Notamacropus eugenii: one gene and its partners. The protein of the gene in region 2 interacts with the protein of the main gene of each other region in a pairwise test. Links are inferred from orthologs where the notes say so. Each region holds a gene or a part of one and is shown on either strand. Other genes may lie near its edges. The genes, in order: CHIC2, CDR2, C5H1orf216 and KANSL1.

Evidence for each region.
Region 1: the proteins of CDR2 (region 2) and CHIC2 interact in binary tests that used the Homo sapiens proteins (3 or more experiments, as listed by UniProt). The link is inferred for Notamacropus eugenii from reciprocal best matches to the Homo sapiens genes CDR2 and CHIC2.
Region 3: the proteins of CDR2 (region 2) and C5H1orf216 interact in binary tests that used the Homo sapiens proteins (3 or more experiments, as listed by UniProt). The two-hybrid records come from large-scale screens. The link is inferred for Notamacropus eugenii from reciprocal best matches to the Homo sapiens genes CDR2 and C1orf216.
Region 4: the proteins of CDR2 (region 2) and KANSL1 interact in binary tests that used the Homo sapiens proteins (3 or more experiments, as listed by UniProt). The two-hybrid records come from large-scale screens. The link is inferred for Notamacropus eugenii from reciprocal best matches to the Homo sapiens genes CDR2 and KANSL1.

The regions. Positions count from the first base shown.
Region 1 is NC_092877.1:105,529,087-105,536,930, reverse strand, and holds the start of CHIC2 (cysteine-rich hydrophobic domain-containing protein 2), read left to right. Parts: upstream 1-4,842; 5' UTR 4,843-6,337; coding exon 6,338-6,456; intron 6,457-7,844.
Region 2 is NC_092874.1:396,564,630-396,571,710, forward strand, and holds the start of CDR2 (cerebellar degeneration-related protein 2), read left to right. Parts: upstream 1-4,076; 5' UTR 4,077-4,369; coding exon 4,370-4,448; intron 4,449-7,081.
Region 3 is NC_092876.1:83,994,395-84,001,267, reverse strand, and holds the start of C5H1orf216 (UPF0500 protein C1orf216 homolog), read left to right. Parts: upstream 1-3,869; 5' UTR 3,870-3,977; intron 3,978-6,873.
Region 4 is NC_092873.1:346,576,036-346,583,513, forward strand, and holds the start of KANSL1 (KAT8 regulatory NSL complex subunit 1), read left to right. Parts: upstream 1-4,470; 5' UTR 4,471-4,494; intron 4,495-4,659; exon of another isoform or gene 4,660-5,022; intron 5,023-5,071; exon of another isoform or gene 5,072-5,306; intron 5,307-6,560; 5' UTR 6,561-6,700; intron 6,701-7,478. UniProt on the Homo sapiens protein: Non-catalytic component of the NSL histone acetyltransferase complex, a multiprotein complex that mediates histone H4 acetylation at 'Lys-5'- and 'Lys-8' (H4K5ac and H4K8ac) at transcription start sites and promotes transcription initiation.

The DNA of each region.
Region 1 (7,844 bases), on a different chromosome or scaffold from region 2:
GCTGGATCTCCCATCTGGGAACTTGGTTTGGCATCAGCCTGGGTCAGTTCCACAGAGTCACTGGGTGTGTTCACTTTCCTGCAGTAAACCAAAATCTCAACATCTCGATCAAACTGATGCCCTTAAGCCAAGGAAACCTGGGTAACCATCTTGTCATCTTCCAAGTACTGCAGAGGACTCAGAGGACAGTTGGACTGGATCTTTTTAATGCCATTGGGAGAGTAGATATTGGCACTGACACTAAATATGTAGGACAGCTCCTTGTCAGGAACCCAAGGGATTTGAAAGGTGACGTCAGCCTCAGCTGACTCTGTCAGGAGATAGTGTAGATTCAATATGGTTGACAGGACAAATTGAACAGCCACATCTGCCTCCAGGGACAGTTCCTAAACATAGCTCAGAGTGACAACAGTCTTCTGGTCAGGGGGCAGATTTCCTAGATTGTAGCTGAAGATGTCACCAGAGCTGCTATCCTGCTCCAGAAGGAAGGCTTGCTGACCTTGGGAGATGGCATTCTTATAATTCTCCTGGGCCTGCTGATTCTCTTGTATTTCTGCAACTATACTCTTCACATCCACCAGAGCCTGGAAGCTATAAACAGCAGAATCTTTATCCATGCAGAACACAAAGAATGCTTCCACAGGATGTGCTTCCTCAGTCTTGTAGTCCAGGGTTGCAGACACATCTGCCACAAACTCACAGATAGACACAGCCACTGAGATGCTCTTAAGAGGCACTAGATGCTTGGAGGGGGTGAAAAGACTACAAGGGAATTCCATAGTGAAACTACTCAGTACTTACTGCTTGCAAATTTTGCTGCAAAGTGAGATATGATTTTTTTAAAAGAGAAACATGATGGTTTCAGATGACTTACATAAAATGAGATAATTGTAAAACACTTCACAAACCTTACATAACCAAATGCTAGCTATGATGATGATGATGATAATTATGATAATGGCATTTCCAACATCTTTGTTTCTGCTACTACCTCTCTATTTAGCCAGAGATTTGTTGAGAGAAATCAGATGAAATTTGATATTCTACAATTCTAATTTTGTAGGCTATAAATGTGGATTGAAAGCTAGAATATATGAAGTCAAAGAAGGTAATGCCTCTCCGAACCAGGCACTTGGTAGTAATGTTGGAAGTCATTCCTTGGTAGAGGGGTATGAATTAGGGACTGGTTCTCCTGGAGAACTCATTTTGTTACCTGTATTCTAGTTATTGTAGAATGTAATATCCCCATCCCACTTGATTATAAATTCCTTGAAGATAGAGACCTACAAATGGTAGTCAGGTTTTTAGCTCTGCCCATTTAAATTTTCATTTATCCATAATATAGCTGAAATGGTAAGTTCTTCTTATAGTTCAACATAATGGGTTAAACACAATATTTGTGGTTGTCCTGGCATAATTTGATAGATTTGCAATGTAATATTGTTTATAATATTATTTCTACAAGAAAAGTAATTCTTTAGCATGAGAACATACTAGGTACTTCTTGTCTTTCTCCTCACCATCTCCCCTGGGTAACTGCTAGCTCCTTGCCCTACAAGGGGAAAAGGAATGGGATGGCATTTTACATTCCAGGGAGAAGGAAGGATAAGTGACTTATAGAACACTTCTTATTCTTAATGGCTGGGGTCCTGTACTAACTCCCTACAGTATTAAAACCGGGATTGCCTACCATGTTACAGTCACAATAAAAGGATTGGATTATCTAAATCCAATTCAACTGAACAATTTATTAACTGCAAAGCACTGTCCTGCTTTGATAGAGAGAAGTAACAAGGCTAAACTAGTTAAGATCCCTTCTTCAAACAGCTTACAGTCTATTTGGATGAAGGAAATGCAACACATGTTTAAATAATTATATTGCAGATTAGAGTTTCTTTTTCATTTTTATGTACCAGGACTGGGCACAGTACTCTGTTCTGAGTACCATGGAGTTATCTTTGACGTTTCCTTTCTCTTCACCTAAGATATTCAGGATGTTACTGAGTCCTCTCTCCTACCTTCATATATTCCATATCCATCCCCTCCTTTCTCTTTCCATTGCCACCTCCTTAATTCAGGCATTTATCAGCATCCATTCAATAGCCATATTCATTAGAATTTCCACTCCTTTGCCTGTCTGACCTCACCCAATATTTCCAGTCTTCTCATAGTACTCCCTCAGTGAACTCTATATTCATTTCAGACTGGACAACGCACATCCCCCTCAAATCTGCATGGTGTTCAGCTTCAGCCCCTTTATTCAGGCTTTTCCTATGCCTGGAATGTCATTCCCCTCTCCTCTAGGTCTGTTGAATTTCTATTCCTCCTTTAAAGCCCAACTCAAGTGCTTCTTCCCTCAAATTTTCCTTCATCTGTGTTGGTACATCAATTCTCCTAGGACGCCACAAAACACGTTGTTTCACAACTCTCTAATGTACTAATGATATAACATTGTATATTACAGTTATCTGTGTTTGTTCCTGATCTGTCTCACAGGTTATGAACTCTATAGGAACAGGGACAGTGTCTTAACTAAACTTTCTATCTCTCACATAGCTTAGCAAGCACAGTATTCTGTTACACAGTAAGTACGCAATAAATATTGGTTGAATGAATGGACATTAAATAAATGTTTGTTGAACTGGATGAACCAGTTAGAAAGGTACAAATGTATCATTTGAGGTCTAAGATAGAAAAGATCATTGTGACCATGTGGAGGAGCAGGAGAATCAGGAAAAGCCTCATGGAGGAGGAAGCATTTGATTTACATATGAGCTCATATGTAGAGTACATGTGGAAAATAGCTCAGCATAAAGCTGGGAAGGTAAGGAGGCACCAGGTTATATCCCTGAATTTAAAGATAAGAAGTTTGGACTTTATTGGGAAATAATTACACACACTTACACAAGATTTCCAAAGCACATTCCTTAGCTTCAATTGAAGGGTTTTGAGCAAAGGAATATTGTGAGATATGTGTATAAGGAAGATTAACTTGGCAGCAAAGGGATGAATGATTTTGAAAGACTCTAGAGGTTATAAATAGAACCAGTGGGTAGAAGTTGTAAAGAGACAGGTTTGATAAGGGAAAACTTCCCAACATCTCAAAGTATAATTAGCTCCCTTGGAAATTAGGGAGTACTCCATCACTGGAGGTATTTGAGCAGAGATGAATGTGACCATTTGTTGGGAATGCTGAAGAAGACATCTCTTCAGGTATGGGTTGAACTAGATAATGCTTTGAGGTTCCTTTTAGCTCTGAGGATCATGACTGTCAGAGAGTTGGAAAAGACTGGAGATGAGAGAAACTGCTTAAGAAAACTTACTTTCAATCTCTCCCTCTCTATTGGCTCATTTCCTACTGCTTACAAATATACCTATGTCTTCTCTTTCTTGAAAAAACCCTCAATGCAGCCTTCCCTCCCTGCTATCATCCTACATATCTTTTCTGCTCTTTGTAGCTGAACTCCTCAAAAAGGTCATCTAAAAGAGGTCCTCAAACTCTTACAATCTGACTTCCTGCCAAGTTGTTCCACCAAAACTGCTCTCTCAGAAGTTGCCAAGTCTCTTAATCGCTAAATCCAATGTCCTTTTCTTACTCTTCATTCTCCTTGACCTCTCCGTAGCCTTTAATACTGCCAATCTCTCTCTTCAAATCTGTTCTCTCTAGGTTTTTGGGACACCCTTCTCTCTCCTGCTTCTTCTCCTATCTATCTGATTACTCCTTCTCCTTTGCTGATCTTCTAGATCACACCCTCTAACCTTAGGTGTCCCTCAGGGTTCTGTCCAGGGCTCTCTGCTCTTCTCCCTTTAATGCCATTTCATTCACCTGGTGATCTCATCAGCTCCCATGGATTTCATTATCATCTCTGTGCTGATGATTCTCAAATCTACCAATCCTATGCCAATACCCTGCTAACCTCTAGTCTTGAACCTCCAACTGCCTTTCAGACATCTCAAACTGGATGTCCAATAGACATCTTAAACTCAAAATGGAACTTCTTATTCCCCACCCCCCATATCTCTCTTCTCTACCTTCTCCTATTGCTGTAGAAGGCAACACCGTCCTCCCAGTCCCTCAGGCTCACAACCTAGGAGTCCTCCTTCATCCCTCACTATCTCACCCCGAATATCCAAACTATTGCCAAGGCTTGTTTATGTCTCCTTTGCAACATCTCTCAAATACGCTCTCTTCTTTGACACTGCCACCAATCTAGTTCAGACCCTCATCAACTCACACCTAGATTACTGCCAATATCTTTTTAGTGGTTCTGTCCACCCTAAGTCTCTTCCCATTTCCAGTCCATCCACTATTCAGCTTCTAAAGTGATTTTCCTAAAGCACAAAGTTCCATTATATTCACCCCCTACTCAACAAACTTCAGTGGCTTCCTATTGTCTCCTGGATTAAATACAAAGTACTCCGTTAGGCCTTCAAAGTCTTTAAAACCTAGCCTTCCCCTAGCTTTCTAGTCTTCTTACACTTTGCTCCCTGTCATACACTCTGATTCAGTGACACTAACCTCTTGGCTGTTGGAAAAACAAAACACTCCATCTCTCAAATCTGAGCATTTTCTCTGACTGTTCCCAGTGCTTGGAATGCTTTCCCTTCTCCATTCTGACTATTGACCTCCCTGGTTTCTTTGAAGTCCCAACTAAAATCTCACCCTCTATAAGGTTTTGCCAACACTTCTTAATCCCAGTGCCTTCCTTCTATTATCTCCTCTTGATTCTGTATATAACTTGCTCTCCATACAGTTGTTTGCAGGTTGTCTCCCCCATTATAGACTATCTTTTGCCTCCTTTTTGTATCTCCTGGCACATAGTAGGTACATAATAAATGGTTTCATACATATAATGGATATATAATTCACAAGACTTGGCAACTGATTGAATGTAGAAGGGGAAAAAGAGGAAGCAATCAAAGGCAGTTGAGTTTGTAGCATGGCTAAGAATTAATCAAAGGTGGTGCCACAGGATAGAAACAGGGAAGTCAGAAAGAGAAGCTTTGGGGAAAAAGGAATTATTGGATCATAAATTGAGAACTGAAAAAAAAAATAAAAAAATAAATTGAGAACTAGAGGGGAACTTGGAAGTCAGTGAATCCAACATCTTCTTTTTGCATCTGAAGAAACTGAGGTCCATTCAGGTTAAGTGGCTTGCCTAGCTAGTCACACAGCTAGTAAATTATCTGAAGCAGTTTGTGACACTAGGTCTTCCTGATTCGGGTCCTGCACTCTCTTCTCCTGAAAAGTTAATTTTTTTTTTTTTGGACCTTTACCAGTGATGGGTCAGGAGAGTTCATACACGGTGTTAAGCTCTGGAAGTTTAAAACTGCACTTAGACCTTGCACTTTTCCTTGGCGGAGCTACTGGGCAAGGGAGAGTGGGGTGGACCCTTCAAACGTGAGGATGCTCCAGCAGATGGGTGGGGATAAGTGAGGCGGGGAAACTCTGCGGGGCCCTTCGCCTCCTCGCACGTGGCGAGGCTGCTCGGGCCTCCAGGGGAACCTCCGCGTCTGCCAAGGAGGCACCTTCCAGGACTGTCCCAATGGGAGAGCCGGCGGTGTAGACGAGGTCTCTTGGTCCGAGACGTCAGCGGTCGGCGTCAGGATCAGGAACGAGCCCCGCAATCCGAGCCCCGGGATGCGCACGCAGCCCCGGGTTCTTCTGCTCGCTCCTGGCTTTGGGGGACCCAGGGGGCTCCCCGCCCCGCCCTCCAACGTCTAAAGTCAAGGTGCACCCTTTTGCTCGCTTCCTCCTCCTTCCCCTCAGGAGGGCAGAGTCCAAGGAGTCGTTCGGGCTTCTTGGAAGCAGGAGAGAGGGTGGAATCCCGAGAGAAGGAACGAGCCGGCCGCCCGCCCGAGGAAAGGGAAGGATGACGTGGAGAGCGAGAACGGGAGGAGCGGCGCGCGCGCGCGTGCGCGCACGCGCACGCGCACGCGGCCCCGCTCGCTCGTCCCCCGGGTCGGCCAGTCCGCCAAATCTCGCGATGCCTTAGGCCGCGGCTCCCGCTGCGGGTGGCTCCGCTGTTGCTGTGGTTGCCTTAGTTGCTGCGGCTGCGGCGCCGGTGGAGGTGTGGGCCGCGGAGCGGATGTTGACATTGTGTGTTTTTACGGCTCGACGGTAATGGCGGCGGCTGTGACGGCCGGGGCTCCGTCTGCCCTCCTGTAGTCCCCCAGGAGAACCGGGGACGGAGCGGAACGAGCTGAGCGGCCCTCCCCGAGCGCCGGCGGCTGCGACTTTTCCTCTCACCCTTCCGCCGTTCTCTCGCCCCAGCCCCGGGCCTCCAGCCCCTCTCGGGCCGGGGCGGGGAGGGGGGAGGGCCTGCGAGGCCTCAGCATGGCGGATTTCGACGAGATCTACGAGGAGGAGGAGGACGAGGAGCGGGCCCTGGAGGAGCAGCTGCTGAAGTACTCGCCCGACCCCGTAGTGGTTCGCGGCTCCGGTCACGTCACCGTGTAAGGCCCGGAGGAGGGTGCGGGAGAGGACGGGGAGGTGGCGGGCAGCGGCGGGGCCCCCTCCCCGCGACGCCCATCCGGGGCCTTGTGGCCTGGGCCGGCGACCAGGAAGAGCAGGGACGTGTGGTCTCTGTCTCTGTCTCTCAGTCTGTCTCTCCCTTCCCTCCCCTCTCCTTCCTCTCCCTTTCCGCAGGCCCCGCGGTCTCTTGGAGGGCTTCTCCTGACGTACCCCTCCCTGCTCCCTCCACCCCAGTGTGGAGGCCAGCGGCCCTCTCTGCCCCCGCTTCCTCCCCCTGGGCCTCTCTTCCCCTTAACCTTGGCTTGTCTTCCTTGTGTGCCGCTGACCCGGGGCTCAGGCCGGGTGCAAATGGACGTAAAGACCCTCATGGAAGCCGAGGCCGCAGGGGTGTGCCTAGGTTCCTTGAAGTATGCTAAGGTTCCTCTTCGGAAAAACCTCCCCAGATCCTAAAATCCTTGCTCGGGATTTTTATTAGCATGCTGCTTAAAAATCTGACAAGATCACGAGTGCCTCCAAATAATTAAGAAAATCAACCCGAACGTGGAATGCAGCACCGTTAAAATTGCTGTCATTCTCCAGAATACGTACCTGTGGCTCCCTCCTCCCATCCATTCCTCTTGAGAGATACTTGAATCTCACTTTGTAAGGTTTAATGAAATCCCAGCCAACAACGTTGAACGTCTATCTAGGCGTTAGGCTACACTAAGGGAAAAAAAAGCCTGTCTTCTAGGTTGTGACTAATCAAGGAATGTGGATACTTGAACCAAATAATGAGCTGTCCGGAAGCAGGAAGTTTCGTAATGTTTCTCTGAAAAGTACAGTTACGTACAGCTGGCAACAGTATTTTTATTCGTTTCGTTACGAAGCGCAGTGCATACAGTAGGCCCTTAGTTAATGAATATAAGTACTTGTCCTCTCAGATCAGAAATTCAGGTGCCATCTTTATTAGCTCTGTAAGTTGCTTTTTACATGAGTGCCTGTTAGTGATTAATGTACTTTTAAACAATTTTTATTAGTTTTTGTAATCTAGTGAACGGGGTGCTGACTTTTACTTTTAGCCAAATAGATTTCGGATATGTCATTAATAGGAAAAATCAGTATTTCTCAATAAATCAGCAGGCTATCTAGTTGTTTGGATGTGCTTATGTAATACTCTGGCTTCTTTGGCACCTATTAGTTTACAGAGTATAGGGCTTGGATGGGAACTGTCACACCCCATGCCTGGAGCACTATTACAATATATGTTTTTCTACAATTAATTGTTAATAAACTACCTAGCACACCAGCCAAAGTAATAAACATAGCAAATTATATATGTAATGAATACTATCACATCACAGCATATCTTTAATATTGCAACTTCTTGACA
Region 2 (7,081 bases):
TGTGCTAAATATCAACACATATAACCCATATAAACAAAAGCTCTTGGGATCCGCAATAATTTTTAACAGCAGAAAGGAGTCCTCACTAGTTTTTAAAAGTATAATTTTTCTGTTGTTCAGTTGTTCTAGTCGTATCTGATTCTTCGTGACCCTATTTGGGGTTTTCTTGGCAAAGATGCTGGAGTGGTTTGCCATTTCCTTCTCCAGCTCATTTTACAGATGAGGAACAGAGGAAAACAGAATTAAATGACCTGCCTAGGGTCAGAGAGCTACTAAGTATCAGAGGTCAGATCTGAATTCATGAAGCTTCCTGATTGCAAGTCCAGTGCTCCATCTTTTGCACCACCTAGTTGTCTCTTTTAAAAGTATAAAAGGATCCTCAATAATTTTTAAGAGTGTAAAGGAGTGCTAAGACCAAAAGGTTTGAGAACCACAGATATAGAAGATGAACTTAAGTCTTGGATACCTTAGTGCTCCTTCAATTTCCATAAACCATAATTAACAAATTATAAATCCAGTCATCTCTGCTCCAAAGATAGTGGTATCTATTTTTAAATTTAAAGCGCCTTTTTTATTTTTGGCCACGGTTTGTTTCCGCCTGAATACTGCCAACTAAGGTAAGTGTGCAGCAGAGAGATCCTTTACCAACACAATAAAAACTGGAAGATCAGTAAATTTTTTCTTTCATAAATGTCAGGGCCTGGAGGCAGGAGATTTGCTATTCTTTTTTTAAAATAGAAATTTATGTTTCTAATAAATATGGGAAGAAAAATGTACTAGAGTTAGTCTGATAAATATTTACTACTGGTGGAGCTTATCATATCCAGAATTTGCTTATTCCTTCTGGATCTCTGAAGACCTGGAGGAATTTCTGAATTAGCTTAGCCATACATGAGGTTTAACAGTAAAATTTCAGTCAATAATTGTCCTGCTCAGTACCACTGAAAAGTAACCTACTGTCAGTGCCAAAATCAGGCCCTGGGAACACTGGTTATCAGTAATGGTTATCAGCACCTTCATCAGACCTTTTTTGCTACAGAGGAGCGGGAAGATGTGATACATATCAGCAAATTTTTATTTTAGCTGCTCTGCTCTGGTAAAAATTTAAGAGGGAGGCATGTGGTAGCTAAAATAAATTTGCGGATTTCAATTATCCCCATGATTCCTAACATTCCAGTGTTATCATCAGTTTCCAAACTTCTAGCAGAGGTTCAAATGTATTAACTGGAAAACACCTGATCTCAACTTTAGGGCCAAATGAAAACTACCTGATAAGATTGGAGGGGTGGGGATGGGACAATTCTTTAGGAATCTACAGTAATGGTAATGCTAACTGGGAGCTATTATTGTGTGTGCTATGTCACATTAAAATCTTTACATATACCCAGGTATGACTAGTATCATAGGATTTAGGCTACGAGAAATCTGCTTTAATCAGTTACTTTTATCTCCCTACATCTGTATTACAGTTCACTGGCAACAGCCTATTTAATGACCAATATAAGCCTGGCTTTGCTACTTAACTGTAAGGTTGAGTAAGAAACTATCTCTTGAGCCCTTGGTTTTCTTTTTTGTATAGTGGGGAAGCAGAGGGGTATTGAACTTCAGAGGTCCTTAACCTGGGGTCCATGAATTTGCTTCTTTAATATTTGATAACTGTATTTCAATATCAAGAAGACCTGAGTTCAAATCCAGCCTCAGACACTTAACAGCTGTGTGACCCTGGACAAGTCACTTAACCTTGTTTGCCTCAATTTCCTCATCTATAAAATAGGCTGGAAAATAACAAACCATTCTAGTATCTTTGCCAAGAAAATCTCCCAAGTAGAGTCATAAAGAGTTGGACACAAACTGAACTGCAACAATTTCAGTATAATCGGTTTCCTTGGTAATCCTATTTAATTTTATGTATTTAAAAACATTATTCTGAGAAGGGTTCCAGAGGCTTCATTACTATCAAAGAGGGGGCAAAAATTAAAAAAAAAAGTTAGGAACTCCTGGATTAGATGATCTCTAAGGTCTCTTTTTTTAATTAATTAATTTGTTTTCAGTTTTCTACAATCACTTCCATATATTTTAGATTTTTTCCCCCTCCCTCTTCCCTCCCTCCCGGAGATGGCGTGCAATCTTATATAAGTTCTACACATACATTCTTATTAAATACACTTTCATCTAAGGTCTCTTTAAACCAGGGTTGGGGAACCTTCAGTCTCGGGGCCTCATGCGGCCTTCTAGGTCCTCCAATTCATCCCTTTGACTGAATCCAAACTTCACAGTACAAATCCCCTTAATAAAAGGATTTGTTCTGTAAAACTTGGACCCAGTCAAAAGGCTGCACCCAAGGACCTAGAAGGCTACATGTGTGCACGTTTCTCACCCCTGCTTTAAACTATAAATCCTATGGGTGAGTTGGAATGGTTCTAAATGGTTTTCTAAATTTAGAGAATCCAGTGGGCCACTCAGGGTAAGACCTAGTAAAAATCATTAAGTAGAAAAAGTTCTTTACTCAATGGAAGCTTTTCTCCTTTAGCTAAGGTGCTTTTATATTACTATCAAAATCCTCTCAGAAAACAGTCTAAAACATAAACAGATTAAAGTGTGAATAACCAATAATAGCTTAAAATTTAATGTACCTAGGAGCATCTTCATTTTTCCTTAAATGAAGTTTTAATAGTAAAACTTTTAGGTGCAACAGTCCCTATTCAGGGGAACAGACTTTTTTCCAGCACCATTAATAACTGCTTATTCCTAAAGCAGGCGAAGATGCTGTAATACAGGTTACATAGACCCTTAATAGCATCCTTAACATTTGATCATGACCAGCTTACTCCTGGCTGGCTGAGGATGGATGGGATGAGCGGAGTGGCTTCTGCCAGATCCTCAAGTCTAAGAGTCAGCAGGGGAAGTGGAGTGGCTTTGTGAAAAGAGTGAGGGGTTGGGGTTACCTGTATGGCCATGGACAAATCACAGTAACTTCTCCTGGCCTCTTTTTCTTTTCCCCTCAGTTTCCTAATGTGTAAAATGAGGTCCCTTCCAGCTCTGTACTCTAAAGATCTGGGTTTTGACAAGAGAACTGCGATTCAGTAGCATCTCCACCTGTCAAATCCATAGGAGCAGGTGAGCCCCGCTCTCCCCAAGGTGCCCCAGGTGACTCCTTAGCTCCTCCCCTCCCTCCACTTACACTGCACACCATCTGTCAGTCAACAAGTCATCCCTCCCCCAACCCTCTGTGCTCCACACACCGCACTTCATCCTCATAGGAATCTTCTACCTACAGGTGGAAGGGCCCTCAGAAGACATCCAGTGGAGCCTCCTCCCTTGACAGCTGAGGAAACTGAGGCCCGGGGGGAAGTGACTTGTCCAAGGTCACACAGGTGATTTCAGGCACCGGATGAGAACCTGCGCCCTTGATCTAGATCCTCCACATCCGACCAACCCACCGGCTTATGCTGCGCCCCCCTCCCCTCCTCCGACTCCCCTTCCTCACCCCAGCCTCGTACAATGACGGTCCCGCTGGTCCACCTACCCCAAGCCCGTCACTGGTTACACGGCGGGATCTGAACCCAGGTCCTCGGACTCCAGAGCCGGGGCTCCGCGCCTCGCCCCGCCGGGCCTGACCTCACGCCCCTCATCCTCCTCTCATCCTCAGCCCAAGGTGACGTCAGTGCGCCCCAGGGGACAGCCTCCCCGTGCGTCACCGCACCCCCCACTCTCCCACCCTCCGCCGCCCGGGGCCCCGCCCTCCCGGCCTCGGCCTACGCTCAGCACCGGCCTCGGTCACTACATACGTACCTCTTTCTCCTCCTTCGTTTCCTCCGCCGCCGCGCAGACTCGCTCCCGGACTGGTGCGGGGTGTGCCCCAGAGAGCGAAGCCCGGTGGGGAGACGTGGACTGCGCGTGCGCCTCTCTCCCCGTGAGCGGGCGCGGGGCGTGGTTGGACTAGCTTTTCAGCGCCTCTTTACTCTTTCTCCGCCTCCTTGGTTTTCTTCAGGGTCTCTATTGGTCGGTTCCCCGGGAGCCAAGACGAATCGGATCTGCCCAGAGGGCGTGATTGGCGAGAGCGCCCGCCCCTCGTCAGGGCGGCGGCCTGGGATTGGTGGGAGCGCGGCCTGGGTTTTGAATCGCTCCCTGGTTGGGGAGGGCGACTTTTGCAAAGTGCCACGTTTGGGGCCGCGGGCCGGGGAGAGCCGGCTCCGGGCTGCCGCGGGGGCACGGCACGGGGCTGGACGTTGTCCCTCGGCCGGGAATCCTAGCAGTGCCGGAGCCCGCTGGTGGTCAGAGCTCCGCGGCGGTGTGGGCGTCGGCAAAGACCCGGGCTGCGGCCGGGGCGGCGGCGGGACCGAGGCTGCCTCTGTGATACCCCGCCGCGATGTTGGCGGAAAACCTGGTGGAGGAGTTTGAGATGAAGGAGGACGAGCCGTGGTACGATCAGCAGGACCTGCATCAAGGTGAGCGGGCAGCCCCCACCCCCAGGTCCTCCGGGCGCTCGGGGGCAAGCCTTACCCCGCTCTGTAATTGCGAGGCGGATTGGAGGGTGAGGAGCCTTGGGTGGGACTGGGGAAGAAGGGTGGTGGTGGGACTGGAGAAGAAGGGTGGTGGTGGGACTGGAGAAGAAAGGAGGTGGTGGGACCTGGGAAGAAAGGAGGTGGTGGGACCTGGGAAGAAAGGAGGTGGTGGGACCTAGGAAAAAAGGAGGTGGTGGGACCAAGGGAAAAGGAGATGGGGGGACCAAAGGAAGAAAGGAGGTGGTGGGACCTAGGAAAAAAGGGGGGTGGAACAAGGGTAAAGGAGGTGGTGGGACCTGGGAAGAAAGGAGGTGGTGGGACCAAGGAAGAAAGGAGGTGGTAGGACCAAGGGAAAAGGAGATGGGGGGACCAAAGGAAGAAAGGAGGTGGTGGGACCTGGGAAGAAAGGAGGTGGTGGGACCTAGGAAAAAAGGGGGGTGGAACAAGGGTAAAGGAGGTGGTGGGACCAAAGGAAGAAAAGTGGTGGTGGGACCTGGGAAGAAAGGAGGTGGTGGGACCAAAGGAAGAAAGGAGGTGGTGGGACCAAAGGAAGAAAGGAGGTGGTGGGACCTGGGAAAAAGGGAGGTGGTTGGGACCTGGGGAAAAAGGAGGTGGTGGGACCTGGGGAAAAGGGAGGTGGTGGGACCTGGGAAAAAGGGAGGTGGTGGGACCTGGGGAAAAGGGAGGTGGTGGGACCTGGGAAAAAGGGAGGTGATGGGACCTGGGGAAAAAGGAGGGAAAGGAGGTGATGGGACCAAAGGAAGAAAGGAGGTGGTGGAACCAAGGAAGAAAGGAGGTGGTGGGACCTGGGAAAAAGGGAGGTGATGGGACCAAGAAAGAAAGGAGGTGGTGGGACCAAGGAAGAAAGGAGGTGGTGGGACCTGGGAAAAAAGGAGGTGGTGGGACCAAGAAAGAAAGGAGGTGGTGGGACCAAGAAAGAAAGGAGGTGGTGGGACCTGGTAAAAAAGGAGGTGGTGGGACCTGGTAAAAAAGGAGGTGGTGGGACCAAGAAAGAAAGGAGGTGGTGGGACCAAGAAAGAAAGGAGGTGGTGGGACCAAGAGAGAAAGGAGGTGGTGGTGTTGGAGAAGGAAAGAGGTGGGAGGGAGGGAGAAGCCCATCCCTGAGCAGGTGTCCTGCCTGGCTTCTTCTCGGCCAGTGTGCCAGCCCTGAGATGATTCTCCCTTTCCCGCCCCTCCCCTTTTCTGCGGTATAGACTAGGTCTGTGGCTACGGGCTGGGATGCTGCTGCTCCAGCTTCTCGATTGTGCACTGCCCTCTTGGTTATCTTGCTGAGTCCAGGTGAACTGGGGTGAGCGGGGATGGGGATGATCGGAGTGAAAAAGGGAGGTTGCCGAGACTTATCGGTCCCGTCACTTGGTTGCTGCTGCTTCGCTTGCGTTAAACAATTAAACGTCGTTTGTGCATAATTTACCCTTGCCGAATTGTAACGCCTGAGTACGTACCACCCTACCTATTGCTTGTCCTCCGAAAGCTCCTTTGCACCCCAGTACCAGTGCTTGCTTGAGGTGGATTTCTCAATTGGCTTTAATTCATCCCAAAATAAACACTTTCTGATCTGCTTACACATCGGGTTCACTGGCTCATTTTTAGCATATTGAACAGATCCCAGGGATTCTTGCACGCTTGAACTACGTAGCCTTTCCACATTTTAAGCAAGTCTTTGTTTAAACTATGAACAATGCCCACATTTAGGTTAACTTTAAGCAGGTATCTTGATTTTTATTTGTAGAAGTGAGTACAAAATTTAATGAGGGTTTGAAACCAACAAAACCCTTTTCCACGCCCACAACATTCTCCAAAGATCTAAGTCAATTTCACCTATCTAGTCTTTATAGTCAGTAATTTTTATGAAATAGAATATACAGTGGCAGTGTGGCATAGTGAGTGGGTAGAAAACAGCCAGCCTCAGAGTCAGGAAGATGTGGGTTTAGGACTTGGTCAGAAATATACTGGTTTTTAGACCTTAAGCAAGTCATTTAACCTCTTAATGTCCCAAGTAACTCTCTAAGACTAAGTTGTAGAGCAGGTGCCTGTTCTTTATGATAAAGGGAGTTGCTTACATCAATGAAATCATAGGTCTGATTTTTTTTAAAAGTATAGATCACTTTTAACATTGCTGTGAGTAGGCACATTTTACAGCTTAAAGGGCTGAGAATTAATTTGCCCTTTAAATTCCAAATGAGATTAATGAAAGGCATTAGAACACTAAGCTTCCTCTTCAAGGAATATGTGCTTAATGACTTGTAGCCTTTTTAGAGTTAGAGAAAACAGTATGTATCTGTTCTTTAGGATAGTTTTTTCCAAACTAATTTGCCTTCAAAAATCATATGACCAAAGTAGTCAAGCCTTACATTGTCTATGTAATCCAAACTAGTTGACTATTGTAAAATAGTATTTTCTATAGTTACCCAAGTTTACTGTTTTAATACAGCACTGAGTTTATATTGCAGGTTTCCCTCTATGTATTAGGCCATTTATTACTCAGATATGTTCTTTAGAATTAATGAAGTATCCACATATAATGGAGATAGGAGAGTAATCTGAAAGGAAAGCTG
Region 3 (6,873 bases), on a different chromosome or scaffold from region 2:
AAGTTGTTCTTAAAATAATATTGTTGTAACCGTATACACCATTCTTTTGATTCTACTTATTTCACTCTTCATTATTTCATGCAAGTCTATCCATGTTTTTCTAAGATTATTGAAGTTATTATTTCTTATAGAACAGTAATATTCCATCACCATCATATATCACAACTTGTTCAGCAATTCCCCAGTTGATGGGCATCCCCACAATATCCGGGTCTTAGCCACCACAAAGAGTTGCTATAAATATTTTAGAACATACAGGTTCTTCTTCTTTTCCCCTAATCATCTTTGGAAACAGACCATTTAATAGTAGCATTGCTGGGTCAAAGATTATGCCGTTTTATCTCTTTAGGCATAATTCCAGATTGCTCTCCAAAATGGTTGGATCAGTTCACAATTCTACCACAAGTTTGGTAGAGGAGAGAATTTAGGAGGAAATACGAATTCGTTTTTGCACATGCTGAGTCTGAGATACCCCAAGAATATTCATTTCTACATGTCCAATGGGCAGTTGATGACGAAAGGCTGAAATTCAAGAAAGAGGCTTGGGCTGGGTATATTGATCTTGGATTCATGAACAAAGACATGATCATTGAACCCATGGGCACTGATGACATCTCCAAAAAAAGAATATAAAGAAGAGGACTGGGAACAGAACCTTGAGGTCCACCCATACTTAAAGGGCTGTGATATAGATGTCATGCCAGCAAAGGAGACTGAGGACAGATCACACTAGTAGGAGGAGAACCAGAAAAGAGCAATAGCATGAAAACTCAGAAAGTAACCTAGAGAATGAGTGGTTGACAGTGTAAAATGTAGATAGGTTAAGGAGGAGGAATAATGAGAAGATATCATTAGATTTGGTCATTAAGAAGTGGTCATAGGGCAGGTAGGCAACTCAGTGTATCCTGGCCCTGAAGTCAGGAGGACCTGAGTTCAAATTCAGCTTCCGATACTTACTAGCTGTGTGACTGTGGGCAAGTCATTAAACCCTGATTGTCTCACCAAAAAGAGAAGGAAGAGGAGGAGGAAGATGAGGAGGAGGAGGAGGAGGAAGATGAGGAGGAGGAGGAGGAGGAGTGGAGGAGAAGAAGAAGAAATTACTTTGTAGAAATAGATTTCAATTGAATGATGAGGTTTGCAGAGGCTTTGGGGGAAAAAAATGTGTGTTCGTCCTTCACTCTCAAAGAGGACCATGACATCAAGATAATGATATGATTTGCAGTTGACTTTGATTTGAGTGAGGGAGGGCTGTGCAAGGTCACCAACCTCACTTTCTTCTCCCATGCCATCTGGATCCAGTTACCTGATATTCATCAGGACAGTTGGAGATGATCCAGGATGCAATGGGAGACCCTGGCCCTTTCAGACTAAGGTCTTATAGCATTCTCACTTTGAGTGAGATACACTCATTCAATGAATAGACTTCTTTAAGCACATGTTCAAGGGATGGCCCCTTTAATTAAAAAAAAAAATCAAACTGGGAGGAGAAGACCCTCAGGGTTCCTGGGTAAAAGAGCAACAATTGGTTGTTCTCTGTTGCTTTCGAAGAGGACCAAAATGACATCACCATGATAAAGTGAAGTTTCAGTGTGTCTGCCTGTGGCTGATCAGACCAATATGAGCTCAGAATGTTCTGCTCCAGATTGAATATAGATAGTCCATGTGAGTATTTGGGATGGATACTCCAAATTTGTGCATCCTATGTTTACTTTGTGCTATCTCAATTCTGCTTTGCTCATACATCACAGCACCCTTTCTGATGTGGGCACATCATGCTGAGCAGTCCCGTGTCAGTGTCTCCCATGTCGCACAATCAAGTCCAAAGTTATTGAGAGAGACCTTGAGAGTGTCCTTGCATCTCTTCTTCTGACCACCATGTGATCACTTGCCCCATGTGAGTTCTCCATAAACTAGCCTTTTTTGGCAAGCATACATTTTGCATTTGAACGACGTGGCCAGACCATCGGAGTTGTGTTCTCTGAAGCATAGTCTGAATGCTTGGCAGTTCAGCTCGAGCATGGATTTCAGTGTTGATTGATTCTGAAAAGTAATATGGAATTATGTTCAAAACATCATTGAACTGTGCATAGCCTTTGACCCAACTATACTCCTCCTCAGAAAGAGGAAAAGGACTCATACATACAGAACTATTTATAGAAGCTCTTTTTTTGTAGTGGCAAAGAATTAGAAACTAAGTGGGTGCTCGTCATTTAGGGAATGGAAAAACAAATTATGGTATCTGGATGCAATGGAATATTATTTTGCAAGAAATAAAGAAAGAGGATTTCGGAGAAACCTGGGAAGACTTGTATGAACTGGTGCAGAAATAGGAGAACAATGTCTATAATTTAAAAATTGTAAAAACAATTAGCTTTGAAAGTCTTAAGAATTCTGAGAAACTCAATGACCACTTACAATTCCAAAGGACTTATTATGAATCAAGCTACCCAACTCCTGGGAGACGATGGACTCAAGATGCAGAATGAGACATGTGTTTTTGGACACGGCCAATGCAGGAATTTGTTTTGCTTCATTATCGGTATTTGTTACAAGGGTTTTCTTTTTCTTTAAGGGTGGGGAGGGAGAAGGCAGAAGGGAGAGAGAATAAATATTTACTAATTGAAAAGAAGTAAAATAAAAATTAACATAAAAAGTAGAATGAAAGGAGAACGGTAGTTCCATGTATATGCATTATTTTCGAAGAGTTTAAAGATTAAAGATATAGAGATTAAAGATACAGGACAATAGTTTCAGGGATGGTGGGGTTGTCGTTTTTTAAGGATGGGGGAGGATTTGAATGTTTGTAGGAAATAGGAAAGGAACTAGGACATAGGAAGAGATCAATCATGAAAGAGAAGGGATGATAGTAGAGGCAATGTGAAGGAAAAAAATGGGAGAGATGGGATGGAATCAAGAGGTTACAGAGGGGTTAGCCTTGGCAATGGGGAGGACTATTTCAGTGAATGGACTAAAGGAGATAGTAAAGGATGAAAATATGGGATGAAAAGAGAAAGAAAAGAGAGCTCTAAGTAATGGCCTCAATTTTTTCAGGTAAGGTACGAGGTAAGGCGCTCTGCTGAGAAGATGGGAGGAGAGGGTACTATGTGACATAAGGAGAAAAGAGAAGGTATGGAACAACTTCCATGGTAAATTGACAAAAAATAAATTAGAGAGAATGAGAACCTGCACAAGAACATTTACATACCTACTTACATGGAGTACATGTACAGGCATACCTACACATGTAAGCTTGTTCCTGGACATATCTGCAAATGAGTACACAGACATGAGTACATGTTAAGTGTACTTGCCTGAATTGCCAGCATACATCATTCTGTCATTTCCACTGTAAAGGTCATAGCGTTTCTAGAAGTGGAAGGGTGCTTACAGATCATCTGCTCCGCACAGAAGCTTTCAGTATTATGCTCCTAAAACACAGAAAAGAATTTATTCATGGGTCTGTACATAGGAGTATACAGATATGTGTGTGTGTGTGTGTGTGTGTGTGTGTGTGAACCTCTCCTTGCTTGGCAAAAAAAAAAGGATTTTTTGCTGTCTGTATCCTTCTCCCAAGAATCTTTCCTTTGTGGGAGGATGGCTTTACTTCCCCTCTCATGTCCCCTACCTCTCCCAGCAAGTGTGTTCTGTGCGTATGTTTGTGTCTTAGTGTGCCTGAATTTGTGCGTGCCTGTCTTGCCCAAATCTGTGCCTGCGTGTGCCTGAGTGTGTGCCTCTGAGTGTGCCTGTATGTATTCCCGAGTGTGTGTCTCTGCGTTTTCCTGTGTGTCTGGGAGTGTGTGTGTGTGTGTGTGTGTGTGTGTGTGTGTGTGTGTGTGTGCAGCCTCCGCTGCAGCCGGGGCTCCGCCCCTCCCTTTTCCGCACTCCTTGCCAGGCCAGTGACTCAGTGACGCTTTCCTGCGGCTGGAGCCGGAGAGGAGCTGAAGCCCGAGTCGGGTGGGCCTGGGCACCTCTGGGCTGTGAGTCTGGGCTGTGGGCAGGGTGGTCGTTTTGTTTTGAGGGGAGAAACTCCGGGGGCTGGGGCTCTATAAAGGGCGCGGGGGGGACACCGCAGTGGCCCATGTTAGGGGAGAGACTCATCTCTGGCCTCCCAGGGCTGTGGGTGGGGAGTGGGGGTGGGGGGGTGGGTAAGGGTGAAGAGGAAGGAGGAGCGTCTCCTGCAGCATCCCCCACCCCCGCCAGAGCAGTGGCTGGGAATGGGGAGTGGAGGCGGGGCTTGCGGGAGGCCCATGGGGAAGAAGAGGGGAACAGGAAAATGAGGATGGGGTTAAGGATGCTCCGGCTTTGCCTGTACTCCACAAGGATGGGGTGTATGTGAGGGCGCTGACTGACCCTAGAGCCCTGCTCTCCTCACAATTCTCTCCCCTCCCTACCAGCCTCAGGATCCTCCACCACTCTGGGCCTGGCTTCTGCGCAAGGTCTTGGAGGTGGACCTGTGTGCCAGAGACCCTCTGGGGGCAGGGCCTAAGGAATTGCCAGTCCTGCCAGGCTAGTTTTTGTCCTTAGTGAATACCAAATGACTGATTAGCACTCATTTCCATATCTCTCATCAGTTGAACCTGCACACAGGTACCATACATACATATTACACATGCTTTACGCTGTACATACATGGGCACACAGCTACACTACCCAGGTACATACAGAAAAATGTATGTATACATATAATATGCAACACACACATGTACACAACCTGCATGCATGGGCATGCATAAACCACATATACGCGACGTACATATACATATACGCAACCCCAAATGCATACTGTACATACATATACATATATACAGCCCCAAATGCATACTGTACGTACATATACATATACGCAGCCCCAAATGCATACTGTACGTACATATACATATATGCAGCCCCAAATGCATACTGTACGTACATATACATATACGCAGCCCCAAATGCATACTGTACGTACATATACCTCATAGCCACCATACCTGGTGATTTGAAGACCATTAAAACACAGCTCCATAAACAATATTTTATCCCATCCTCCCTCCCTACACCTTGTGATGACCATTCGCCTTTCTTTATCCTTCCCCCTGTCGTCCTCTGATCACTGCCCCCGCCTTGTTAGGCTGCCTGGCAGGATAATTTCTTATCTTCTGTAAGCCTTGGTTTGCCAATACACAAAATGTATATAGTTGATGATGACACCTTCTCTGTGAGTTCAAGCCTACACTTGGACAAATACATTTGTTCTAATCTCTGCCCATTGAAAGTATTCACAGGGAGGGTAATGGCTGATCAGAGCAGAGGAGAGAGAGGACAGACAGAGCTAGGTATAATGGGCACCATAGCAACAGAAGACAGGGATAGAAAGGACCTCCTAATGTGGAAGCCAGGAGGAGTCAACTCAGCTATTCAGGGCCTTTCTGCTCAATACCTCAGTGTCCCAATCTATCTGATAATCAGTCAATCTGTCAATCAACTAACAAGTATTTATTAAGCACATATTATGTGCTAGGCATTGTGCCAAACTCTGGAAATGCAAATACAAAAATGAGATAGGTTTTGGCATCAAAGGCTTTGAGGGTAGGAGGTGGGAGCAGAGAAGAGGGACTCATGCACACCAATAAGAAGAAATATTTGTCAAAAATGCACACCAATAAGTCAAGATATAAAAATGTGTACTGATAAGTAAATCAAGGATACATAGTATACAAAATATATTCATCAAGAAGAAAATATAGAATGCATTATTAAAAAGGACACAGGGTTGGGGGAGGAGTAGAAACTGGAGGTATCCAGAAATGCCTTCTAAACAAGGTAGCTCTTGAATTGAACCTTGAAGGGATCTGGGAATTTCAAGAAGCAGCAGTGAGGAACAAGAGCATTCCAGGACTGAGAGACAGCTTGTGCAAAGATATGGGGACAGGAGAGGAAATGTGTTCAGGGAAAAGCAAGTATTCTACTGGAACTTAGAGTGAATGAAGAAGAAGAATGTGCAATAGGTCTGGAAAGATCAGTCAGAGCCAGATTGTGAAGAATTTGAGAAACAAAGGAATTTGTATTTTATCCTAGAGGAAGATGGGAGACACTGCAAATTCTTGAACAGGAGAGTGATGAGCAGTCCTGTACTAAAGGAATATCATTTTGGCAGTTGTGAACATACAGTCATAGAATCACAAAATCAGAAGGTTGGTAGGGAATGCCTGTAGCCAGATAGTCCAACCCATACACAAAAGGAATTCGCCATTTAACTTATGGGCCAAATGATCTCTGGGAAGTGTCTGAAGACCTTCAAAGAGAGAGGAACTACCCCTCCCTCAGGCAGGCAGCTTTTCTACTTCTGGACAACTCCATTTTCCTCCCTTTCTTCTGTCCTTCCTTCCCTTCTTCCCTCCCTCCCTCTCCTTCTCCTTCTCCTCCTCCTCTTCTTTCTTTTCTTCTCATTCTCCTTCTTCTCCTTCTCCTCCTCTTCCTTCTCCTCCTCCTCCTCTTCTTCTTCTCCTCCTCCTCTTCTTCTTCTTCTCCTCCTCCTCCTCCCCCTCCCCCTTCACATTTTAAGTTCCAAATTATCTTCCTCCGCATCCTGCACTAGAGAATGCCACCATTTGACACAGATTTCCATACTATGCTTCCCTCTGTTTATCAGTTCTTTCACTGGAGGTGGATGCCATCTTTTTTCATAGATCCTTTATAGCTAATCTGAGTATTTATAGTACTCAGTAACTTAATTGTTCACAATTATTCTTCAAGCAATATTGCTGTTACCGTATATAATCTCTTGGTTCTGTGCACTTCATTATTTCATATAAGTCTTTCCATGTTTTTTTTTTTCTAAAATCAACCAGCTCACCATTTCTTTTTTTAAATATATGTATCTTATTCCCCCAA
Region 4 (7,478 bases), on a different chromosome or scaffold from region 2:
TTATCAGCTATTGACTGCTTTTTAGTGTTATTTACATTTTGAAGTCATTGTGACTGCTTAGTAATACTATTTTCTTTTACGTTATTGATATTCTTCTCCTAAGTTATGCTTATATTATTCTCCATCAATTAATGTCATCCCATATTTCTCTGAATTCCTAATATTCAATGTTTCTTATAGCACAATAATATTCCATTACATTCATAAGCTACAATTTATTTGGTCATTGCTCAATTGATTTATTTTGAAATTCTTGCTACCACAAAGAATGCTGAGATGACTATTTTGTTAAATATAGTAACTTTCTCTCATTGTTCTCCATGGCATATAATTGAATTCTAATTACATAAAATGTGAGAAGGAAACTATCATTGGGGTATGTTCTTGTCTTTATCATCAATATGCCATCATCAATAATGATAAAATAATATATAGCAATGAAAATAAATATAAATTAATAATAAATAGCAAATATAATATACCCACACTTTGAAGACCTCTAAATTCATCAGTGTGGGTATTCTCTCTGTTGAACAAACCCTTACTCATAAGCATCTAATCCAACTCATATACTAAAGACATCTCCATAGAAACATATCTGACAAGTGGTGTCATTCAGATGACATGAGATAACACACGTAAAGTGCCTTGCAAACTTTAAAGCTCTACGTAAATGCTAACTATTATCATTCTCTATCATCCACCCTCTACTTGAAGAGCCTTCCTCTCAAAGTAGACTATTTCATATTGGCACAGCTCTAATTGCTTGGAAATTTTTTCCAATATCAAGTCTAAATTGATCTTTTCTACCCATTACTACTGATTTTGCCTCTTGGGGGCTAAATAGAACAATTTAATCCCTTCCACGTAGTAGGGGATAGTTATCATGTCTCCCTCATATCTTTTCATTTTCAGACTAAACAATCTTTATCCTCATATGACAATGTAAGCAAAGACAAGGCAAAAATTCTCTGTATTTGGGAATCTCAGTCAACAAAAAATAATTGAAACAAATAACATCTATACAATATCAGATCATAACTTGCCTATAACTTAGTGGGGGGTCTTTTAGACTACTTGTGGTTGAAAATTTCATCACCTTACAATCAAGTTTGTGATCGTAAAATCATACAACATATAATGTCAGAAGTGGAAGAGACCTAGAGATCGTCTATTCCAAACCCTCTCCTTTCATATATGAGCAACTTTAGCTAGGCTTATTTGTCAACAATAGATATATAGTCTAAAATTGGGACCATACTTGAAACCCAATTCTATAGCTTGGTGTCATATTTTATACTTCACTGGTATCAACTCTTTAAGAACTGAGTCACCATGGTGCTATTTCTAGCTATCAGTCAAAAAGAATTTAAGTACTTGCTGTGTGCTAGGTGCTATGCTAAATGTGGGGGTGGGGGGAAGTGGAAGGGGGAAGTGAAGGATGCAAAGAAAGACAAAAAAAGGTCCCATTTATCAGGATTACATCTATGTCATCCGTCTAAAATCACCACCAGCCTCTGTTCCTCTGAATGGAAGGTGGAGCCATGAATTCTAAAACTTCTCCTTAATAGGAAGGATAACTCAGTACAACTCTTTTGGCATTTCTCTCCTGGCTGCAGGACTTTGGAGGGTCTCTGACTTTTCCACCATAACCCAGGAAGCTCATCAATGGGAAAACTTCATCATCTTGCAAGATCCCATCAGTCTGGCTTCTCTATCTCATCACCACCCATTGTCCCTTTGATTAGAGGGTGGAGCTATGAACTCCTTTTATAAGTTGTTTTCATCTTCTTTTGTATGTTGTATTTCTCATTAGATTGTAAGTTCCTTTTAAAATTTGTATCCCTAACCCTTGAACAGTGCATATGCTTAATAAATATTTATTGATTGACTGAAGTTTCTTCATAGGAGAGGCACTTGTGCAGTCCAGCAATGAGTATTTCCTCTCTGCTCAGCCAAAAATTTATCTCCAGTATTCCAAAAAAACCCCAGCATTTGTGTTCTGTAAAATGACTGGCTTAGAACAAATGATCTCTATTTCCTTCTAGCTCTAAATCCTGTTTCCCATAACTCTAAATTATAACAACCCACTTTGTTAATTATTTTTTAAATGAGACTTATTATAAATACCTTTTATTTTGTATCAGTCATTTTTGTATATGCCCTGACAAAATAAGTTACATTCTGTCCTTGTAGTCACCTGCCTCCCTAGTAAGGAGAAGAAGGCATATGTTATAATCTGTTTCTAATACCAAGAATGGTTATTTTTACTACAGAGTTTCGCATCCTTTTAATGTTTTTATTTACATTTTTGTCATTTTGTATATTGCTCTGCTCTGCTTATTTCATTCTGCATCATTGCATATAGATCTTTCCATTTTTCTTTGAATTCCTTATTTTCATCAATTTTCAAAAACTGTATAATACTATTCCATTACATACAAATTACATTTATGTGGTACTTTGAGATTTTCTATCAACATCTCATCAAGGTACACAGTACAAACATAATTATACTCACAGATGAGAAAGTGGAGGGTCATGATGATCCTTTGACTTGACCATAGCCATATTGCTAGTAAGTATTGGAGTTAGGAGTTCTTTACTTATCTTTTCCATTGACACTTGAAATTGAGTAGGTTAAAAAAAAAGCTTATACAATACCATGACCCTGAAAGGGCTGATCTAGTTCAACCCTTTAACATTGCATTTGAGGAAACAGAGTCACCAGATGTGTGACCTGACCAAGGTCACATGGAGATATCATAGGACTAGGACTGAACTCAGGTCTCCTATCTCCTACTTCAATTCTTTAGGTTCAGAGATGTCCCAAGAAGAAAGTTGCACAACTAATTTGTAGCAAACCAACACAAACCAAATCTCCTCCCTTCTAATTCAATTTTCTGTTTCTTTTACAACTTACTTTTCTGAGTTCCCTGTTTCTTTTCTTACTCCCAAGTCGACTTGGCTTCAATAACAATTCAACCAATATTCCCTGAAATATCAGGCACTGTAAAAATACACCATTTAGGTGTGTTCCCTACCCTAATGGAGCCTACTTTTTAGCAGGTGGATATGGTACATAGACAATTAACCATACTCAAATGGATTTGTACATCCATTTGGGAGTTCCTTCCAGTGATGCTGATCACAGCCTCAGCATGCTTATCTGCCCTGGGCAGCTCTTGTCTATCTGTTCCCAAAAGTTTGCCACAGGGGATCCTCCCAGGAAACAAATGAGGATGGAAAAGGTGGCAAGCATGTAAAAAGTATAATGTGCTATGTAAGGTTGGAGCGGGAATCCTAGGGATGGGGCAATAAGGAAAGGTCTCCTGGTGGAGGTATTTGAACTGAACTTTTAGCCATAGGTAAGATTTCTTTTGGGGGCAGTGAGAGGGCACTCCATGTATAGCGAGCATGAACATAGATGTGGAAGTTGTATTAGAGTTAACTAGTTTAGTTTGTCTGGAGCTTAGGGCATATGGAGTGGAGTAGTATAAGATAAAGCTTCAAAGGTAGGGGGTGGGTGTCAGATTGTGGAGACCCTCAGATACAAAGCTGAGGGTTTTGAATATTATTTCATAGTCAATAGGTGCCATTGGAGAGTTTGGGGTATAGAAATCCCCCCATACCAATGATTCATGTGTGGCGGTGGTATGAAGGATGGATTGGAGGGGGAGGAGGGAGAGAAGGAGGTGCAGGTGGTCATGAGGCCCGGTATTAGTAAGAGGCTGGTGGCAGTCTGAAGATTGAGATGGGAGATACTGCAGAGTCTCAGGGACTTGGCAGGGCGTGGGAGAGGAGGAGCACTTCCCAGTTTTCCTGTCAGTGCCAGTAGCCCCATCATCCTTCCACTTTCTCCTACCTCTCCTTCCTGTATCCTTGCATCTCTGTCTATATCATGTAGGTCTATATAGCCACATTTCTGCTACCTAGCCCTGCAGTGTCATCTCACCACGTCCACAGTGTCCACCCCCCCCTTCTCCTCTCCCCCTCCCCCCACTGATTTATGGCTGAATTGTTGCAACATCCTTTTATAAGGTCTCCCTGCTTTAGTTTCCATCATGTCGCTGCCCGGCTCTAGAACCAAGAGATGGGGGGGGGGGGGGGGGCGTTAGGGTGGGAGGGGGAGACGTGGTGCTGGGGAACGAAGAGGGGGCATGATCAGGGGACCAGACTGGGGATGCTTCTTGGAAGCCCTGCCAGGACCCCTCCATCTCCTTCTTCCCACCTCCGGGCCCCTCCCGGCCTCTCTGAGCAAACATTTCCCGAATGCACGGACAGAGACAGAGACAGAGACTCCGAGAGACAGAGAGAACCAGAGAACCCGGGCACCAGCATCACTCGCCCCCCCTTCCGCCACGCCCCGCCACCCTGACGGACGCTCGGGCGCAGCCAATGAAGCTCCGGCCCTGACCTCGGTAGGCCAATGAGAGACGGAGGAGGGCGGACAACTCCCCGCCCCCCACTTCTAGGCTAGGTTGAGCCGTGCAGGTAGGTCCGGGGCCGGGGGAGCCGCCGTTGGCGCTGGTGCCCGTGGCGGAGCGGGGGGTCTGGGGGCCCGCGAGATGAAGGGGCAGCCGTCGAGGGAGGGGAGGGGGGTCCGGGGAGCCGGGCGGGCGGGGGAAGCCGGGGGGTGGGCGGCCGCAGGGGCGCGGGCCTGGGAAGCGGGTTGGGCTGGGGGGGAGAGGGGACGCGTGTGTATGTGTGCGTGCGTGTGTGAGTGCGTGTGAGTGCGTGTTGCACACCCGCCGCCCCACTCCCCCTGCAGCCGCCCCCGAGCCCAGGCCCCCGCGGCCGCCGGCCCGGCCCCAGGGATGGCGGGGGGGAGCGGCGAAGGAGCCCTGGGCGCCAGGCCGAGCCCAGGCGAGCGCGGGGCCCGAAGCCGGGCTGCGGGGGGCCCGGAAAACCGAGGCCAACGGCCGTAGCCCCCTCCCCCCCGCCCAGGGCCTCCCGGGGTCCTCCCGCAACAATGGGCTTCGTAGTGGGGAGGAACCGACAGAGGGCTGGAAGAAGGTGGAGGTGAGGTGTGGGACCAGGGACCACCTGGAAGAGGGGAGGGGAGAGCAGGGCTGGAGTGGGCATGGCCCCCCCTCCCCCCCAGCCCCATCCCCAGGCCTCTGGATGGGGATGCTGATGGGGGAGGAGGAGGCCTGGACGCGAGCTGGCCCCCGACCCACCTCCTCCACTCAGTGCCATGAACTGTAAGGAAATGAGCCCAAGCCATGGGAAGTGATGCCAAGTTCAGGAGCTGGTGTGATGACGAAGGCATGGCCAGAAGAACTCTACCCCCACAGTCAATTTGTGTGTGTGGAAACCTTTAATTTTCTTATTTTTCCACATGAAGGAAAAAAATTTAAGTAGTGGGTGCTATTCTGTTTTGTTTTGAGGGGCTCACCAACTCCTGTAAGCTCTTAGCCTCCTATTGGAATTTCCCTTGGGCTCAGGGACCCCGGACTTGAGGGAACCTTGTGGTCATTTCATGCCACCAGGCAAAATCAAACCCATTGCAGACACTGGACTGACTACAGCTGGGTTTTGGAAAAGTATCTAGAAGAGTAATTACCTTTCACTTAAACATTCTCAGATTAGAAAAGATGTAGGTTTGTTTTGGAAATAGAATCGATCCTGGAACTTCATTTTTTATCAACTAAGTAAAGGGTACTGTTTAAAAGGATCAAAAGATGTTTATTGTTATTGAGGTACTAAGTCCCTTTCTAGTTAGTTTGGTGATTTTACTCAGACTGTTTAGAAATATTAAGGGCATATCTACAATTCAAAAATATAAACAGCCGATTTTTCAAATACTTGGAGTACATAGGGCCTAAGAGTATTGTGACTGTCTTTATACATAAAAACTCTGTTTCTAAATTATGAACTTTAAGTCCTCTACCAGATAATGAATTCTGATTCATCACTTGCCCCCTTCCCCTTCTCTCTGTATATGCTTGGGCTAGAAAGGAATTGTAGAGACCATTTAGCTAGCCCAGAGATTCTTAATCTATTTTTGTCATGGACCCATTTGGCAGTCTGTTACTCTTTCTTAGAATAATTTTTTAAAATATTAGTGATTTAGGGAAATGCTAAATTTCAGTTAGAGGTTAGTGAGAATAAAAACATTTTTTCCCCATCAGAGTTCATATATACTTCTCATATCTATCCATGTATGCCTTGGTGGTTTGTAGATCCCAGGTTAAAATTCCTGAGATAACCAACTCTCTTCAGTTGATAGATGAGAAAACAGGCCCAGGGAAGTTAAGTGACTTTATTGGCCAGGGTCACAAGTAGAAGTTTTAAAAAGTCAAAATTTGAATTCAGGATTTTCAAATTCTAAATCCAGAATTGTTTTCATCACATATATCCTCATTTGTACAAATATAAACATATATAATGTATATACATATGTACACAGGGGGCTTGCAGAGTATTAGTACTTTAACAAATTGATGAGATGAATGGCTGTTTGAGGAAATAAGAAATTTAACTGATTTAATTTTTAAAAATTATTGGGTTTGCAGATAATGTTGATTTGTATTTAATTTAAAAATCTTCTGTTTCAGCTATCCTTTTTGAAAAGTAAAGATTTTTACAAGTGCTGGTCCTCGTTAGATCCAGAGGAGTTACCAAGATTTTCTTTTTACTTCTTAATCTTGTGTGCATTATTCTGGACACTATGAATGCTACTTGGATGCCCGTTAAGGTAAAGGTCTTTTTTCTTAGTTTGTGTGCTTTTGGCATTTATGTTCTTTTGAATTAGAGAATGACCTAATACGTTTTAATCTTGGTATTTTCTGTTTGCTTATTAATATTAGGTAGTTCATTTTCTTCCTAGAAGAGAGCACCATTTATTGTTAGTTGCATTGTCCCTTGTCAAGGATGTTAAAAATATTTATTCAGTTTTGGAACCATTTTCCATTATTCTGTGTTCAGTTCTTTCATTTAAATCATAAGAAGCTACATAGTCAGGTTTTGCTTTTTAAATGTGGTAGAATGGATTAGAAAATTTAAAAATTAGTTCTACCTTTAAACTTAATGACCAAGTTGTTACATCATATGTACAAGTGTTCATACTACTGTTGAAAATCAGTAGCTTAGAGACCTCAAAAGAGTCATGGACCACTTGTTTTTTCAGTAATTTTCTACAGTATGTTAAAATTCTGTTGCCATTTTGGTCTTTGGAGAAATAACCTTGTTAGAGAGTTGAGTATGGCTTGGCTGAGGAATGGTCATTATGGATGTCCTTCTTCCTTTGTCCTTTACAAAAGCTTTCATGCCCCAACGCTGTACAGATGGAATCCTGTGCCAAGTCACATGTCATTGGTTTAACTCCATCCCAACAATGGAGATAAAAGTCTGGTGATAAAGCTGCCATCAGCGTGCCTGACCCTCACTTTGATATAAAGAAACAAACTGATATATGTATGCTGGCTCTCAGTAGGGAGGCTATCAATCTCTTTTTTTTCTCAATGCCTACCAGA